Linked DNA regions of Caenorhabditis elegans. The protein of the gene in region 2 interacts with the protein of the main gene of each other region in a biochemical or structural test. Each region holds a gene or a part of one and is shown on either strand. Other genes may lie near its edges.

What was found.
Region 1: of the proteins of npr-1 (region 2) and flp-18, one has a biochemical effect on the other in vitro, tested with the Caenorhabditis elegans proteins (3 studies listed by BioGRID).
Region 3: the proteins of npr-1 (region 2) and lin-7 form a complex in vitro, tested with the Caenorhabditis elegans proteins (one study listed by BioGRID).
Region 4: of the proteins of npr-1 (region 2) and flp-21, one has a biochemical effect on the other in vitro, tested with the Caenorhabditis elegans proteins (4 studies listed by BioGRID, with this or other methods).

What each region holds. Positions count from the first base shown.
Region 1 is NC_003284.9:3,011,658-3,016,306, reverse strand, and holds flp-18 (SVPGVLRF-amide 3), read left to right. Parts: upstream 1-2,020; 5' UTR 2,021-2,028; coding exon 2,029-2,104; intron 2,105-3,146; coding exon 3,147-3,239; intron 3,240-3,288; coding exon 3,289-3,438; intron 3,439-3,486; coding exon 3,487-3,540; intron 3,541-3,586; coding exon 3,587-3,749; intron 3,750-3,799; coding exon 3,800-3,890; 3' UTR 3,891-3,893; intron 3,894-3,942; 3' UTR 3,943-4,117; downstream 4,118-4,649. UniProt on the Caenorhabditis elegans protein: FMRFamide-like neuropeptides. Ligand to G-protein coupled receptor npr-1. Involved in modulating locomotion quiescence during the sleep-like state called lethargus which occurs during molting between larval and adult stages, acting via npr-1.
Region 2 is NC_003284.9:4,766,600-4,771,707, reverse strand, and holds npr-1 (Neuropeptide receptor npr-1), read left to right. Parts: upstream 1-1,722; 5' UTR 1,723-1,733; coding exon 1,734-1,907; intron 1,908-2,343; coding exon 2,344-2,488; intron 2,489-2,537; coding exon 2,538-2,725; intron 2,726-2,784; coding exon 2,785-3,036; intron 3,037-3,086; coding exon 3,087-3,148; intron 3,149-3,193; coding exon 3,194-3,358; intron 3,359-3,962; coding exon 3,963-4,073; intron 4,074-4,122; coding exon 4,123-4,338; intron 4,339-4,383; coding exon 4,384-4,444; 3' UTR 4,445-4,556; downstream 4,557-5,108. UniProt on the Caenorhabditis elegans protein: G-protein coupled receptor for FARP(FMRFamide related peptide) neuropeptides. Activated by FARP neuropeptides flp-18 and flp-21. Plays a role in modulating social and feeding behavior.
Region 3 is NC_003280.10:14,345,323-14,350,665, reverse strand, and holds lin-7 (Protein lin-7 homolog), read left to right. Parts: upstream 1-1,873; coding exon 1,874-2,074; intron 2,075-2,592; coding exon 2,593-2,750; intron 2,751-2,809; coding exon 2,810-2,885; intron 2,886-3,309; coding exon 3,310-3,504; 3' UTR 3,505-4,822; downstream 4,823-5,343. Other genes in the region: elof-1 (Transcription elongation factor 1 homolog), read right to left, coding at 186-324, 374-489; Y54G11A.17 (L51_S25_CI-B8 domain-containing protein), read left to right, coding at 1,260-1,424, 1,471-1,680; Y54G11A.9 (Core domain-containing protein), read left to right, coding at 4,941-5,054.
Region 4 is NC_003283.11:7,791,422-7,794,570, forward strand, and holds flp-21 (GLGPRPLRF-amide), read left to right. Parts: upstream 1-1,945; 5' UTR 1,946-1,948; coding exon 1,949-2,033; intron 2,034-2,083; coding exon 2,084-2,153; intron 2,154-2,318; coding exon 2,319-2,364; 3' UTR 2,365-2,604; downstream 2,605-3,149. UniProt on the Caenorhabditis elegans protein: FMRFamide-like neuropeptide. Involved in modulating locomotion quiescence during the sleep-like state called lethargus which occurs during molting between larval and adult stages, acting via the G-protein coupled receptor npr-1.

The DNA.
Region 1 (4,649 bases), 1.8 Mb from region 2:
ATCACATCACCAAATGAATTTCTATTTTTACAATATAGTTGTAGTATTTTTGTCGAACATATATTGTTCTAACTAACTTCTTAAAAAATTGTGCTCTTGACTGAACACAAATTTCTGCGTCGTTTCACGTTTACTTTTCTCAATTTTTTAAAACCAAAATTTAACTGCAAACTTCTGCATTGTTCTAAAAACTCACAGGTTATCTCAAAAAGATAAATTTCAAAGTGAGATTTTTTTAAAAAAATTCCGGACTGTTTTTTGATTTTGATGTTTTTAATGAATTTTTAAAATTCTTTATTAGTGCCTGAAATTAACAATAATTTTAAAGTTTGTCACACTGCGAATAAATTAATCTCACATTTCGTATGTTTAGAAAGATGCATGAAACTCCGTCGTTCTTATGAAGTTAATTAAGACATGGCTAATTGAAAGCCCACATGGTCATGAAAAAGTAAAACTTACAACTTTTTACTGAATATTAACCAGTCTCTATAAATATCCCAGCTTAGCCGGAATAGGGTCACGAAAACATGAAAATAAAGCTTGAACCTATTGTTATGATTTTCAATGCCACCTTTTGCAGTTTAATATACACTATTACTACTTCTCAGTTCAAGTTCACTTCTGAGACGGAACCTTTATTTTCTAACTTTCTTTAATCTTACTTTTTATGAGCCGAATGTTCTATTTTGTAAAATGATCAGATACAAGCCCAAAGCTAATTTTGCCAATAAGTGTTAGTAGATCAATTGAATTACAATATAATGACCTGGGCGGAATAGATTTTTGCACTGATTTTTTTCCAAGCTTACTCTATGAATATTCATAGATCATCTTCAAAGGTAGCGTGTGTTGTAGTTGTGTTTTGGCGGGTTCGTGTTATTTGACTCAGCTCAAGTAGATGTTGTAGTCTTCCCTCAATCAACGCGTGGGCTTGACCCTCTTTAAATTGAGTGGAAACCAGCCAATCTATTTGAAATCTACCCCCGAAATGAGATTCGACGATGACACGACGTGTGTGTTACGTGCGCTGAGAATTTAGGAAAAAAAAGATAATCTTCTTTTCGTTAGCTGCGCCACAACCTGTGCAGATAAACTCCGCACAATTGAAGTTCTTACTGGTCCCACCCGATTTATTCAATTGTATTGTGTCTTTTTTTCTTATTTCTCTACAACTCTAACTTTCTTCAACTATTCTCTACATCAGTGCTTTTTTCCACCATGAAAAAAGAAATGACGTCGTTGTTTCTTAGGAGGGGCGGAGCCTCAACTCAATGGTCCGTTCGAATAGATCCCACCCCTCATATAAATAGGACTGAAACCAAAGAAGTTTTTAAATTTTCAGCTTACCGTGTTTCTCAATTTTCAAAATAGTCTTTTTTGTGTCTGAACGGGCTGATCAATTATGTTTTTTTTTGAATGAAAAATCTTCCTCCCAAGCCTTAAAATTCCTTCCAAAGATCGAAAGTTATGTCTATTCAAGTTACTTCTTCTTAGATCAAATATTAAACAAAAAAATACGCCATCATTCTCTCACATTTAGTAATTCAAAATTTCGATTTGTTTTCGAACTTTTGAATTTCCCGCCTAGGAAGTGACATGAGTGAAATCTCATTAGATAAATGTGCCACTCACCGATGACACTATTTTCAAATAAGGGGGGGGGGTGTTTCGAATACCTTGTACACGCGTTTCCGCAAAACCACACACCCCGAGTTCCTCAGCTTCTTCCCCTCGACCCATGAGCCACGTCAAGATGTCAGCGTGTCACTTTTCATTGCTTCACCTTCTACGGTAACGAGAAAAGGCGGGGAATCCAGGATCTGGTGTGACTTCTTCCTTCTTCGTATCTTCCTAAAAATGTTCGTTTACTTTTTAGCGAGTGTCATTTGATGGGATGTCGTTCTTGAGGAAAGAGGCTAGAAGCTTAATACTCTCATATTTCATATTATTGGCATCAAGACGTTTATTATTTAACTACAATAACGATTGCTTTAACAACTAAAAATAATAATTTCAGGGTTAGACATGCAACGGTGGTCGGGCGTTCTTCTCATTTCGCTGTGTTGTTTGCTTCGTGGGGCGCTCGCATATACCGAACCAAGTAAGTTCTTGATGAACGAAACAAAGAAAAGTCTTGGCTGATCCAATCTCTTAATTGGGTTTGAAGGGAGTTTGGATAGCCCCAGATCAGCGTGGAAGATTGAATAAAATGACGGCAATAATTTGTCTTAATGTAATCTTGAATTTTATTTTAAAATTTTTAACTTTGTAGTTTGTCGAAACGTTGGTTTCGCGTACATTAGTTTTTTTTCAAAATTCTGGACCTGACGTAGTTAGCTGAAATAATTTTGCGCGGTGTTCAAACATCGCATCCGTATTGAAACTTCATTAGTTTTTATAAGCTTCTGTGATATTCATTTTCCAGTGAGACCTATGAATAATCTTCGCTGCTTCCCACGGTCCGTGAATCTCTAGACTTGGTGTTATTGTCTTATTGAAAAGTGTTTCCACTGACCTTCAAACTTTCTATAATCTAGAGTGGCCCAATGTATTTTTGGAAGGAAAAACGCTTGGATGAAAACAAGATGTAGCGGGAAAAAAAGGGGGCGCCTATGGATATTGTGGAAAGATAGTGTTGAGTTGGATGCTGAGTTTTTTATTCTTTCTTGTCGGGGCCCGTTGGGACATGTTTCGTTCGATGGTGCTCTGTACCCATCTAGACCAACGCGGGAAGCCAAGTAAAATGACGCTGTCGTTCTGCCAAAGTGATGTATTTCGACGATTTCAATCAACAAGAAACGTGTTTTTTTTCGTTTCTTTTTTCAACAGGGGTGCACAATTGAATTGTGTCGATTTGAAAGCATGAATTTGAAATTTTTGAAAATTCTCGTAAGGTCGATCGAAACACATACATAACTGCAATTAGGAGGAATTTGGACGCTTAGCGTCCGATAGGGGCGCAAACTTTTTTTTCCAAGGGGTAGTTTTTCACGGCGTCCGATAACTTCCGAGTTTGACCACTCACTATACATAATCATATAATTTTATAATGAGTGGCTCAACTCGGAAATTGTCGGACGCCGGACGTCCGATATGGCAGCCCTAAATACAAGACGGCACATTGAAACAACTTATATTTTCAGTCTATGAAATCGTCGAAGAAGACATACCAGCAGAGGATATCGAAGTGACTCGGACCAACGAGAAACAAGACGGTCGGGTATTCTCAAAAAGAGGTACAAAATTCTTCGTACAACTAACCATCAATTTTTTGTCTAATTTCAGACTTTGATGGGGCGATGCCAGGTGTGTTGCGCTTTGGAAAACGTGGAGGTGTTTGGGAAAAAAGAGAAAGCAGTGTGCAGAAAAAAGAAATGCCGGGAGTGCTCCGTTTCGGTAAACGTGCATATTTTGACGAGAAGAAAAGTGTTCCAGGTAAGTAGTTCCTTGTTGGTTTATTGCATACTGAAAATTGACTTTCAGGAGTTCTTCGCTTCGGGAAACGCTCATATTTCGATGAGAAGAAAAGTGTTCCAGGTGGCATCATCATCTATTCTAAATCAAATAACATCTCAGTTTTTAGGCGTTCTTCGTTTCGGAAAACGTGATGTGCCAATGGACAAACGGGAGATCCCAGGAGTGTTGAGATTCGGAAAGAGAGATTACATGGCTGATTCGTTCGACAAGCGCAGTGAAGTGCCCGGAGTTCTCCGTTTCGGAAAACGCGATGTTCCCGGTGTATTGAGGTCCGATCATTTTAAGACTTCATCCAGCTTACCAAGGTTTTTGTTTTCAGATTTGGAAAGCGATCCGACTTGGAAGAGCATTACGCAGGGGTTTTGCTCAAGAAAAGTGTGCCAGGTGTTCTCCGATTCGGACGGAAGTAAATTGTAAGTTTCTAAATAAGATTTTGCCAGTCTGACATGTATCAAGTTTCAGATGAATGTGAATGTAAAATGTGCCAGCGACAATTCGATGATCTCGTTGTTTTTCTTCTTTTCTTCCGAGCGTCTCATTTCAATCACTTAATATTAAGTTTTTGTCTCTTTTCAACAATGATACTAAACGTTGTCAATTCTAGAGCTCCATACGATTAAATGAATCATTTCCTGTTACGTCAAACACAGTTCGTCTAATTTTTGAGTAATGTAGTTGTGTGTCTATCAATTGTTTTCTGAACAATGTTGAAAAGCAGATTTGTTCATGGTTGACGTGTGTTGAAAAGAATAATTACCTCCAACTCTGTGCATTTTAGGAATTGATTCATTGAGCTTTCAAACGATGAAAAAGTATGCTTTGTGTTATGTCAGTTATCAGATTAGATAAGTCTAAACAGAACCCAGTGTGAAATGAGTCTATTCATGAAGCTGCTGAAAATTTGAAGCATGTGTATCAAAATGATTCCAAAAAATTTGAAACGCAGAAAAGTTTTTTGAATTATCAAATAACCAACTTCATGTGCACAGGTAATTTCCGTCCTTAATTCTCTTTCAAGTTTCAGATTTGATTAATTGAATCTGGGATCATGAAGATTTTTTCAAACTGCTTTTCCCAATACACTGATGAATCTAGTACTGTACAATTTTTCTTTCATTTCAGAGAGAGCATCAATATTAAAATTAATTGTAAGCAAGTCAACAAAGTCA
Region 2 (5,108 bases):
AGCACTTAATTTTCTCGGTCTCATGCAACTAAATCTCTCAGTAAAAGGAAATAGTTCTGAATAGTCTCCTTAATTTCAAAGAACAAATATTTCTTAATGATGTTTTGATTTTCGAGGATAGATAATATATTGCAAAATGATTTAGTTTTAATTTCTGAAAACTTTGAACTTTATTCATAACAATTACAATGACAACTACTTGAACTTTAAATTGAATTTATGAAAGCATGAAAACAAATTTTCCTTATTAGTAACTAGTTTGAAAAATAAGTTCGTTAGCCTAGTTGTTAAAAAAAATATAATAATAGGATTTTTTTCATTGAATGTTCCAATTTGATGCATTATTCTCCTTGAAAATGAATTGTGATTTGAACGTCGCCCGATCCAATTGTAGCTCAACTTTAAAAAAATCTGGCTTCAGAGAATTTCGAGATTAAATTTAATCAGTTTATCCAAAACTCAATCAGCCTCTGGGTTTGTGTTGTTTTGATTGATATCAAAAATTTAATCTCAACCCACACATGATCAAAACCATTGTCACTTTTTTTTATTTCCTACTTAAAAATTCAATTTCCGTTGTTTAACGAAAATAGAGTTGGAAAACAATTGCGGAATTTTTGAAACCTGTTTCAGTAAATTTTCCCCACATATTCTTTTTCTCTTTTTTCTCAGGTATTCATCTTTTCGGCCCTCGATCCCTTTTTCATTAACGTGAACATGTCAACCATTTTTCGGCTTCATCACACAACTCCCTCTCACATCATTCCTGTTTTTGCTCTCATTTCACATTTAGCAAATTTCAACGCAATTTTTTTCTGGTTTCCGTCTAAGATATTCGTCACATAGATCAGTGCTGTTTTTTTGACACAGGGTTTAGAAATTTTGAACCTTGGTTTACCAATATCTTGTTTCTATCCATTTATTACTAGGTAGTTGTTGAACCATACGGAAAAAATAAAAAATTTTCCACTTGTCAAAGCGATAGATGACATCCTGTGCTTCCAGTATCTATAATTCTGTAATGAATCTCTGTCATTTGTAATCTGTATCAATTCGCAGGTGTATTCCGCCAAAAATATACATTCTGAAAGCTCAAGATGGTTTTAAGGTCTCCGATCTTACAATGTGGTTGAACTACCTAATTAGACTTACCCTATTTTTTAAAAGTATTGCACCTATACTGCCTTATCACCCAGATGCAAAATATTGCCATTTCACAGCTTAACTAAACCTGATCTTAACACGACAAGTTTTTTTTGTCAACTGAAAACATTTGCACCTTTAAAAAATACTGTATATTGAAACTTATAAAATTTTTGTAGACTCGTAAGAAAACCTATGAAAAGACCACCAAAACTCATCAACGAGAAATGAAAAGTACAGTAATCTTTATAAGTGCACACAATCTTTATAAGTTGCATTTTAAAATTTTGTCGTATTGTCTAGACCGGGAACCTGTTAGTGGGCCAAGAAATAGTATAATTTTGGGGTTTTTAAAGATGTGAGTACGAAATATTTAATTTCTATAAGCCATAAGCCATGCTAAAAAAACCCTAAAAATTTGCTTACATGAGAAGAAAGAATTATACTCAGCCAAATCTCTAATCACTTTCTGGAAACTATAGGATTTTATTTTTTATCTATTAATCTATTTGGTTAACACCCTCTTTCATCTTTGTTTCCTCAATTTTTCTTTCCTCCATTAGACTAAAAAAATTTCAGACATAGGCCAAATGGAAGTTGAAAATTTTACCGACTGTCAAGTATATTGGAAAGTGTATCCAGATCCTTCTCAAAGTATATATGCGATAGTGCCATTTCTGACCGTGTACCTTTTTCTCTTTTTTCTTGGACTCTTTGGAAATGTGACCTTGATTTACGTAACTTGCAGCCATAAAGCTTTACTGGTACGTTTCGTTTTTTTTTCGGGTCAAATTTTGTTCTGTTTTGGAAAATTGACAATTTCGGGTTCTCTGAACAATTTGATTCGAAGTGCATAGTGCGTACAGCTTACTGACACCCGGCTAACGAGAGACGAGGTTATCCATGTCTACTTGAAAAGTGACGTACATATTTGGCAAAAAAAAAAAACACTCTTATAATTCTATATAACCAAATATCATAATAAACGTTTCACAACTAGAAAAAAAAATTTTATAGACAGTCAAACTGAGTAATTACCACTTCTTGAAAGAATTTTTCCAAAAACGAACCAAATACGTGATGGAACATCACAAAAATGTTTTTAACATTTTTTGAAGCGGATCAAGATTTTTACTCTGACTAGTCCAATCAAAAATCCCAGAACCTTCACTTCTCCTGTGAATTATCATTAAATTTCAGAGCGTTCAAAACATATTCATTCTGAACCTGGCGGCGAGCGATTGCATGATGTGCATATTATCGCTTCCAATCACTCCAATCACAAATGTGTACAAAAACTGGTACTTTGGAAATCTACTCTGCCATTTGATACCATGCATTCAAGGTATTTTTTCTAAAACAAGAAGTTTTTTAAAATGACGTTTTTTTTTCAGGTATCAGCATTTTCGTATGCACATTCAGTCTCGGTGCGATTGCTTTGGATCGGTATATCCTTGTAGTAAGACCACATTCTACACCACTATCCCAAAGAGGAGCATTTCTTACTACTGTTCTATTGTGGATCCTCTCTTTTGTTGTAACTCTACCCTATGCGTTCAATATGCAAATGATTGAATACACAGTGAGTGTCGTTTTTTTCTAGGTATTCAACTTCTTATACAACTAGTACCCTCGTTTCAGGAAGAGAGAATATGCGGCTACTTTTGCACTGAAAAGTGGGAATCTGCCAAGTCTAGAAGAGCCTACACAATGATCGTGATGCTCGCCCAATTCGTGGTCCCATTCGCTGTCATGGCCTTCTGCTATGCAAATATTGTTTCGGTGCTCAGCAAGCGTGCTCAGACAAAGATACGCAAAATGGTGGAGAGAACAAGCGCGTTGGAGAGCTCTTGCGCATTCCCGTCGCATGGTCTTGAACAGTATGAAAATGAGGTAGTTTTATTGATTTTCAAATTAAAAATTCACATTTGATTTCGTTCCAGTTGAACGAATTTCTAGACAAACAGGAAAAGGAGAAACAACGAGTTGTACTTCAGAACAGAAGGTATTAAATGCAAGGTTTCTAACCGAAATACTATTTGTGTTTTAGAACAACGTCAATCCTAGTTACCATGGTTGTCTGGTTTGGGATAACTTGGCTGCCACATAACGTCATTTCTTTGATTATTGAATATGATGACACACAATCGTTTTTCCGACTTTATGGCAGAGATGATTACGATATCAGTTATTTACTGAACCTTTTCACTCACAGGTTTGATTTTAACCAAGAACGAACGGTTTTGACCATTCTGAACGTATAAACCCAAACATGCCTCAAATGAACAAATTTCAAAATAAAACTTCTCAAAATTTTTTTATGCCGGTTCATTTTTTGGAAAAAGACCTGGGTTTAGCTAAAATATTCAATTTCTGTCACTTTTCCGCAGCTGTCGAAAGTTGACTTTTTTTAAAATTATCGTCCTTTATCGCATATTTTAATAGTTTATCTCACTTTTTTCGATCATTAAGGTATTTTTTAAGCCAATAAGTAACAAAAAATGAACAAAATCGGCTACCTATTGGATTGAAAGATACCTTAATCAACGAAATAACGTGAAATAAAAGCTACAAATGGCACAAATGATGATTATTCAAATAAAGCCAGTTTCTGACCGCTGTGAGTCGGGAAAGTGGCTAAAGTTGCGGATTTAGCTGAAATTAACGTTTTGGCCCAAAACGTTTTGAGAAGTTTCATTACGAAATTCGTTCAATTGAGCACATTTTGTGACTATATGTTCAAAATACCCAAAACCGGATCCCTCCTTTGAATTCAATTTTTTTCATGTTTTTGCAAATATTAATTTTAACGTTTCTAGTATTGCCATGTCGAACAATGTTTTAAACCCGGTACTCTATGCGTGGCTGAACCCAAGTTTCCGTCAACTGGTCATAAAGACATATTTTGGAGACCGGCGTAAAAGTGACAGGTTTGTTGTCAATTTCGAAAACGCGTTGTAATTGTGCTTTGTCTTCCAGAATAATCAATCAAACATCAGTTTACAAAACAAAGATCGTGCATGATACGAAGCACTTGAATGGAAGAGCCAAAATTGGCGGTGGTGGTAGCCACGAGGCGTTGAAGGAGAGGGAGCTGAACTCGTGTTCGGAAAATTTAAGCTATCATGTGAACGGTCATACGAGGACTCCTACACCGGAAGTTCAGTTGAATGAAGTTTCAAGTCCTGAAATAAGGTAGAACGTGAATTTGAAATCGTAATTAAAATTTTGATTTTTTAGTAAACTTGTTGCTGAGCCGGAAGAATTGATCGAGTTCAGCGTCAACGACACGCTAGTCTGATTGTTTTCTGACATATCCTTTTTTCGTTGATTTCGCAACTATCATCACTTTCATCCTTGCTGAAATAGTTTTTATGATCTTTTTTTTGAATAAATAATACATAGGATGCATATATATCTATAAGTGTTTTCATGACGTACACATACGAAAATTGATGATATGTGGTCTCGTAGACTAAACGATCATCTCGTGTTCTACAAACGAATGATTCAAAGCAAAGTGCTTCAGAAGACTAGAAGGTAGGGAATTAAACACGAAATTATTATGCAAAAAGAAGAGTTCAAATATTGAACATGTGGTAAAACAAAACGCTATGCAATATTTTGGAGTTTTGAAAATTTCAGACAAACTGCCGAATTTTTCGGAAATCGGGAATTTTGCTGAAAAATTTCTGAGCCATCATTCGCCGGAATTGCCAATCGAAAAATGATTTACAGAACACTAAACAAGGTGTAATAATTCGTTTTCAGAATAAGATTAAATTTAAAAGTTGCTAAAAATTGTCAGCAATCTGCAATTGCGGAAATTTCAGCAATTGCCGAAAATGTTAATTTCCGAGTATTTTTGATTGCCGTGCACACTTTACTTTTTACAAAATTAAAATACCAACAATTGAATACATGTTTGTTTCTTTTTAAAATAACAAATCTCAAAAACTGATTAA
Region 3 (5,343 bases), on a different chromosome or scaffold from region 2:
TTCTCGTGAGAATTGAAGGACCGGTTTTCGAGGCGTGCTGCAATGATGATCCAGAAAGTGTGTGGATGAATTGGGGATAGAAGGAAATAGAATTACTGAGAAAAGCAAAGAGATCAACGCGATGGGGATTTTGGAGGCTTATAAGGAGGTCGTATAAGAATTTAAGATTGACGGATGGGGAATATTCAGGCGTTATTTGCCTGCTCACAGGCATCCACCCAATCAGAATAGACGTCGATTGGCTCGGAGAGGTAGTTGATGTTTGTTTGGAAGTCTTCAGAGCAGACACGACACGAGATATAACCGACATTCTTTTCGCGATCCCTGGAAAATTATTACGTTTTTTTTTGAAACGATTTTCCTTAGAAAGTACATTTTCACTTCACAAACGCGTTCATGATTGCAAAACGGACAGTTGAATTGGGTGTCGAGTGGCATTACAGCCTTTGCCTTGGTTGGAGCCTTTCTCTTCGACTTTCGCTTTCCCATTGCTGCGGATTGTTTGGATTGGTTCTGAAAAACAATTATTAAGTTCGGGAAACGTAAAAAGAACAGAATATTTTTGCAGAAGGTAAAAATATGTTCCAATCTCGAAAAAAAAGTTCGAAAATTACATTTAAATTGCAAGAAAATATACTAATATACAAACCACTCAAAAATGCGACACTCAGAAATACTATATTGTTTTTTTCTGTATTCTAAAAACTATAACGTATGCACAATGTGAAAATTTTTCGTGAGTGTCGGCTTGAAATTCCACATTTTTGGACTTCAAATTCACAAAATTTTTTGAATCATCAGGTTTTATATGGAAAATTTACCTATTTTGACACAAAACATAATATTTCTATCATATAAAAACGGCAAAAATCCGGCAAAAAGTAACACGAAAAACAGCCAAAAAAGAAATTTCGAAACAAAATTGGCGCGAGGAAGACAGTTAGATGCGCAGGTTTTCTCGACTACGGTCTGCAGTACACGTTGCGTACTGCGTACAAAAAATGTTGACCGTAGTCTCCAAAACAATTAAGCATTTATCGGACTTTCCGGAGCAGGATTTATTCATTTTATGCTTAAAATTAAACATTTCTCAATATTTTATCAATAAATTAAATGAGAAAATTGTTTAAATCGTTAAAAAGCATTAAATAATGCTGAAAAACGTTAATTTTCAATAAAATATCTTTCTAGTGATGCAATGCAACTCAAAATTATAATTTAACAATTAAAATTATCTAAATTCAAATTTAAATATTCAGATGGGCCTCAAGGGATTCACCGGTAGTTTTCAACAAATTCGCGGACTTCTACGACCACCAAAGAATCTCCCGTTCCGTGGAATTTTCCGGAAAGACGGAGAAGTTGTGCGAAAAGACGATTTGCTGGTGAATCAATTCAAAATGAATTATCATCCAGGGTTAAATGTAAGATTTATTATCAAATATCTTTGATTATTGAGAAGTTATTCAGGTTTACTATGAAAACGATCGCGGAGAACGTCTTCTGCGTGCCCATTGCGACGGAATCGTTCGTATCTCCCAGGAAAAATGCGATCCGGACTATGAAATTGAGGAGATGAAGGGATACGAGTATAGGAAAGACGTGGATTTGTACAAAATGACGTTCAATGTGATTCCGCTGGAATTGTCTCAGAAGCACACGCTGCGACATGAAATTTAAATTTAATTTTTTGTCGATTTTTTTTTTGGTTTTGTTGTGTTTAATAATTTTCTGACGGGCTATGGTCAATTAGAATAGTAAATAATGTTTTTCCGCTCTGGATAGCTTAATTTTGTAATTTTTAATTGGTTTTCTTGCCATTTTTACCTATTTCCGTCCTATTTTTCCCCTCCTTTCCAACCAAATCTTCCAGATGGATAACCCGGATGGTCCGAATTTGGAGCGGGACGTTCAGCGTATTCTAGAGCTCATGGAGCACGTTCAGAAGACTGGAGAGGTCAATAATGCAAAATTGGCATCGCTGCAGCAGGTGCTACAATCCGAATTTTTCGGTGCCGTCCGAGAGGTCTATGAGACTGTTTATGAATCAATTGATGCGGATACAACGCCAGAGGTTCAGTTTTTTTTGATAAAACTGACAAAAATGCCGGAATTGAAATTTCCGGCAAATCGGCATATTGCCGGAATTCAAATTCCTGGAAAATCGGCTTATTGTCGGAATTGATAATTCCGGCAAATTGGCAAACTGTCCGAATTAATACTTCCGCCATATCTGCAAATTGTGGTTTTGCACATTTTTTTTGGAATTTTCAAAATTTAAATTTTAAAAAATTCAAAAAGGCACAGTTTTAAGTGTTTCCGTATAATGAAAATCCCTACAAAAAATTCCGGAAAATCGGTAGTTCGGCGAAAATCAAAATTTTCGGCAAATCGGCAAATTGCCGGAAATGCAAATTATGGCAAATCGGCAATTTGCCGAATTTGGCAAAAAAAAAGCCGAGCGACAATTGCCGCCAACCTTGATAATTAAAAGTTGTCGAAATTTCAAATTGTAGTTTTTTTATTTTTCGAAATAATTTTGAGCCGTTTTTGAACAACAGAAAACAAAAAAAAACACTAAACATTTTTCAGATAAAAGCCGCCGCAACAGCTAAAGCAACAGTGGCGGCGTTTGCTGCAGCCGAAGGCCACGCGCATCCACGTATCGTTGAGCTCCCAAAAACCGATCAAGGGCTTGGATTCAATGTTATGGGCGGCAAGGAGCAAAATTCACCGATTTACATCTCCAGGTGCAGATATAAAAATATTTAATGATTTTATAATTTAAAAAAAACGATTTGAATTGCAGAATAATCCCTGGTGGCGTAGCCGACAGACACGGAGGTCTCAAACGAGGCGATCAACTTATTGCGGTCAACGGAGTGGTGGGTTAAATGTTTAATTCAATTTTTTTTTAGTTTTTTTCGGAAAAAAAACATCGAAAAATATTGATTTTTCAATGTTTTTCAATGAAAAAAAAATCTAAAAATTCATTTTTTTAAGCAAAAAACGAAACTTACTTTAATTTAAGTGTTTTTTTATCGAAGATTTCAGATTTTTAGTGTTTTTCAGAAAATAAACCGGAAAAAAGTAAAGGAACCAGTAATAAAAGACAGAATTTTTCGGTTTACGAAGATTTCCATATAAAAGAACATTATAAATTTTTCTTAATATTTTTTTTCGAAAAAATGAACAATTTATTCTCATTTTTTAAAATTGAAAACAACTACACTTTTAATTAGTAGAAGAATATAACTCGAATTAGAAAAAAAACTTTGATTCAAAAAAATAACTTTAAAAAAATTTCAGAACGTGGAAGCCGAATGCCACGAAAAAGCAGTTGATCTTCTGAAATCCGCAGTCGGAAGTGTAAAGCTAGTGATCCGTTATATGCCGAAACTCCTGGATGAAATGGAGCGGAGATTCGAAAGACAGAGAATTCGATCCACTCAGCAGAGTCCAACACTCCCGACGCCGTCTTCTTCGACAAATCCACGAAGATAAAAAAGACGGAACATTTGTAGAAATCAAGAATTCGAGAATTTTTGGAAAAAATACGAAAAAAGCCACAACAAAACTAAATGTTACGGGAACACTAAATTTCGAGAATGCGTACTGCGCAACATAATTGACGCGCAAAATATCTCGTAGCGAAAACTACAGTAACTCTTTAAAATATTACTGTAGCGCTTGTTTCGATTTACGGACATCATTTATTAATCGATGAAATATCGAAAGAAAACACAAAAAAAAGACAACAAAAAAACAAACAAAAAAATATATTTTTATTTTTTATACAAATTTGTGTTCGAATTGGTTTTTCGTTTTTTTTTTTGTTGTCTTTTTTATGTTTTCAAATGATGTCCGTAAATCGACACCAGCGCTACAGTAGTACTTTATAAAATTACTGTGGTTTTCTCTTCGAGATATTTTGCGCGTCAATTATGTTGTGCAATACGCATTCATGTGCTCCCGTAATATAGATAATGGACATTAAAACAATATTTCTAAAATTTTTGCATCAAAATGTTTTGAGGCCCCACGAAAAGGGGAGCAAAACGAAAAGGGGATCTGCAAAAAGGGGATCTGCAAAAAGGGGATCTGCGAAAAGGGGAGATACGAAAAGGGGAGCAACGAAAAGGGGAGCTGGCACTGTGCCAAACGCACAAAACGCAATTTTTCTCACGCAACGCACGTTGATTTTTGAAATTTTCTTCTAGAAGATACGCTTAACAACACGCGACGCGTAACATCGGAGCATCGTTGTATCGTTTTCTTCGAGAAAAATAGCGCTTGGCACAGTGCCAGATCCCCTTTTCGTTGCTCCCCTTTTCGTATCTCCCCTTTTCGCAGATCCCCTTTTTGCAGATCCCCTTTTCGTTCTGCTCCCCTTTTCGTGTGGCCTCAATGTTTTACTGCAAGAGTTCGCATTTTTCTGCAAACATTGATTAGTTTAGCCGAGAAAATAGAACTTTTGTAGCAATATTGAAAGATCTTTTCTTGAAACTGAAATTTTCGCTGAAAAGTTTGCATTTTCCACCATAAAATCCCTATTTTTTCTATTTTTTTCCAGTTCATGTATACTCATTTCTAACTTCTTCTCTTCTATTCTTTGTTCTAGATTTTTAGATATCCCTATATGTACATTATTATCTCTTTTTCCGTTTTCAGACAAATTTCCAAAACAATGTTAATCTCAACACTCACCCTCTCCCCAAATTATTGCCCAAAAATTGCTTTAATAATCTTGCTTTGCCTTACGTTCTTTCAAATAGGTGCTTTTCTCCATGTATCTTTAATAACTAAATTTTTAAAATAATTTTTTTTCATTTTTCGGCATTTTTAAAAAAATATTTTCCATGTTTCAAAAATCACGAAAATCTATCTTTTTGATGTAAAATTCAACTTTTTTCAGATTTTTTTTTCAGAATTTTCTCGAAATGCTCACACAAAAAATCGGCAGACTAATGGCTTGTACAGTAACCCGACAGGCTCATCGGATGCTCACCGAGCAAGAGATTAAAGTGACGAATAAGGCAGCGAGCAGGCTTAAAGTTAGTCTGTCCTTGGGCGCCCAATTTTTTTGAAAATTAGAAATATTGTAAATGGAAAAACGAGAAATTTCGATTTTCCAGTTTTTTTTTTCGGAAAAAAATCGGCACTTTCCTATTTTTCAAAGTTTTTCAAAGCATTTAATTTCCGGTGTTTTTTTTACAAAAAAATTGTATACTTTTGATTTGTAGTGCTTTTCAGAGAAACCCCGATTTTCAAAAAAGAAAGTTAAAAAATTTTGTGAATATTGTTCGAAAATTCAATTTTTTTCAATGACTAGAAAAAAACCTT
Region 4 (3,149 bases), on a different chromosome or scaffold from region 2:
TTTCGTAAATAATAAAATGACAAATTAATAGCTTAAGCTCTGATTTTAAGCCAAAGCCTTCTTATCCTGGAATTTTATTCTAATTTTCAGTCTTCGATATCATTCCTCGAAAAATCACAAATACATATGGTGATGTGAATACTCGTCTGTAATTGTTAGGTGGCCACTTCGTAAAATGCTGATATTTCCAAAACCAAAATATAAGAGATCTTGGAGAAAACGCGTCAAAAACCAGCATTTGACGTGTACCTCTACAAATTCTTTCACCTGCCAAATGTTAAATTTGATCTACTGACCCACTAAAACACTACTTTTTTTGTTACCAATGACAATTTTTATGCGACTTTGACATTTGGACAGGGAAAAGTTTTTCCATTCTTTAGTTTGAAACCGAGTCCAAAAATTACAAAATTTTCAAGTTTTTATGCCTCGCTAAACTCTCTAAAGAAGTTTAACTTTGAAAGTCAATGAGCCAACGAAAATTTGTTTCCTCTTCTTCGATGATGACGAAATGTGCCCCGAAGTAACTCGATAATCGTGGAAATCTCTACTTTTTTCGGCTCATAAAGCTTCTTTATTTCTTTTTTTGGTTTTCATCGAAAACTTATCGTATCAAAAACTACCAACTTTTTTGAATATTTGTAAGACTACATTTTCTCATCACTTTTACCCTCCACCTCATCGTTCATCACATTTATCTTACTCCCACTTGCTCTTCACATCACTTTTGTGGGTATATCAATTGGTTGGTGTTTTTTATGTGTTTGTGAATGTTTTGGGGAAGGCTGTGCAAAAATATCAGAAAAAAGAAGAACCTACATGCATTTTGAGGTGGTCTTCATTGTGACTGTTCCTCATTTGGTTGAGATGTCTGCGAATATTAAAAATCTTAAAGACTTTTTTGACCAAAACAATGTGGTATTAAAGGGGAAAAGAAAGAAGAACGTATGTCAACAGTTTTCCTAGTTCAGTCCTAGATTTTTTTTTCAAATCAACTGTCACATTTTTAAAAGGTTAGATGTGTTGTGGAAATCTCTACTTTTCAATTAAAGTTTAATAACTTTTGGCTGTATCAAATACGTGCATTGAAACTCAACTGTTCTCACCTTAAAGTTTTCTGATGCGTTTACAGTCGGGACCAACTACTTACACTGAAACATGTTTATCTTAATTAAGCGGAGCACACTTCCTTTTATTCAAAAAACCTCATAATGCACAAGACGCTGTTTGCTTTCTTTCAAGACCGTAATTAGACAAAGTCATCGAGCAGTAGATTTTTCAAGTCAGCTATTTTCTTTATTCCAAAAACTGCATATTTGTAATACTCATGAATTTTTCATATTTTATGGTTACTCAAAATCTACACGTCTTTATTACAATCTCTCGTTGAATTATCGCGTAAAATTACATCTTCCAAAATAGGACCATTGTTGTTTTCAAGTCATAGCATATTTTAACGCGATTTCCGGCCACCTCAACTATGCTCTGCAACGAGTATGACGTGCCCAATAAATATTGGGCTATCCTGTTTTCCCACCACATACACCCTCCTCATAGTTCCCAGAAAAAACTTTTACCGGAATCACGTATACATATAACATCATCTTACCTGAAAAAACATTTCGATGTATCATTTGCCTAGGTTCTAGGATGGGTGGTTGCTCTTGGAGCAAAGGTCATTTTTGTGAGTAGTCCAGTAGATTTGGAAGGGGATACACTGAAATATTCATTTCTTGTTTCAAAGCTACCGTAGTGATCACTTCCGTCTTACTATTTATCTCAAAACTTCTTTTTTTCCACCCCATCCCATCATGCTTCGCAAGAATCTCATTAACAAATGCAAATTTACAACGATGACTATGTACACTATTTAAGATTTGATTGTGTATTCAACGTTTGATCTCCCACCCTCTCATTGCTCCAAAATCCAAAAAGTCATTTTCAGACGATGCGGCTGTTCATCTTGCTTTCGTGTCTTCTCGCGTGGGTCCTCGCAGCGCCTTATATCGATCAGGAAGATGCGCTCCGCGTTTGTAAGTTTTGTCAAAGTTAAAGATTTAGATTAATCATTAATCTTTTTCAGTGAACGCATATTTGGAGCAATTCGGACCCGGCAGTGACAGAGTTTACTATGTTGCCGAAGACGATCATGGGTAGGTCCAGTTTAATTATTTTCTGATAGACATCTTTATTAAGTCAAGTCTTACTGTAGAATAAGTTGCAAATCGCTATAATTAATAATTTACCGAAATACGAGCATTCAGCTAGAATAAATTAGTTGCGATTCAGAAAAAAGTAAACTAATTTTAAAATTTCAGATCAATGAAACGTGGTCTCGGTCCTCGTCCTCTCCGATTTGGATAAACGGTTGCTGCTCGAACGAACGAACAACATGACACAACATTTTCTCTCTTTCCTCTCAATGTAACTTTATACAAAAATGATGTTCCAGACACTCCACAATTCCAATTCCGAAGAAATATCTATCCTCTCCTTTTCTCTTTGAAAACGCTGCAGAAACAATGTTCTTTTTACTCTCTCTCTCTTTTTCTATCTCACTTCCTCTTTTTCTGTTGAACAAATAAAAACAGCTTTCAGTTTGACATTTGACTTTTTATTAAGTTTATGAGTGCCCTTATATTTAAGAATTTTCCAATTGTGCAATTGTACCCTGCAACTGTAATGGTAGAATCCGGGAAAATCAGTCAGGATTACATTAATGAAACAGTTGGTGTCTTCCCTGCAGGGGTTGAACAAACATTATGGATACTGTTTCAAGGATCGTAGTTGCCGTAATAAATCCATTGAGGCGTCTATCTCTTGAATTTCTAACATAATGTGCCGACTATATAGTAATAAAGCTCCTGAAATTGAGTTTTGGGTGCCAATTTTGTAGTTTTGTGGAAAGTGTAATGATCGTTGAATTTTGGTTTTTGATGATTTTTAAGAACATTTTCCGAGAAATTTCGTATGGCAATTAATACATGGAAAAAATCAGTCCTAGGGATTTTATTCACAATAAAACCGAGAATTCCCTAGAATTGAAGATAAAGTAGTACTTATACATAGTTTCCTACCAAAGCCGAGCCGATTGCAAAAGTTTCGAAAAAATAAAATATCCAATTCGGTTTATGATTACCGCGAAAACA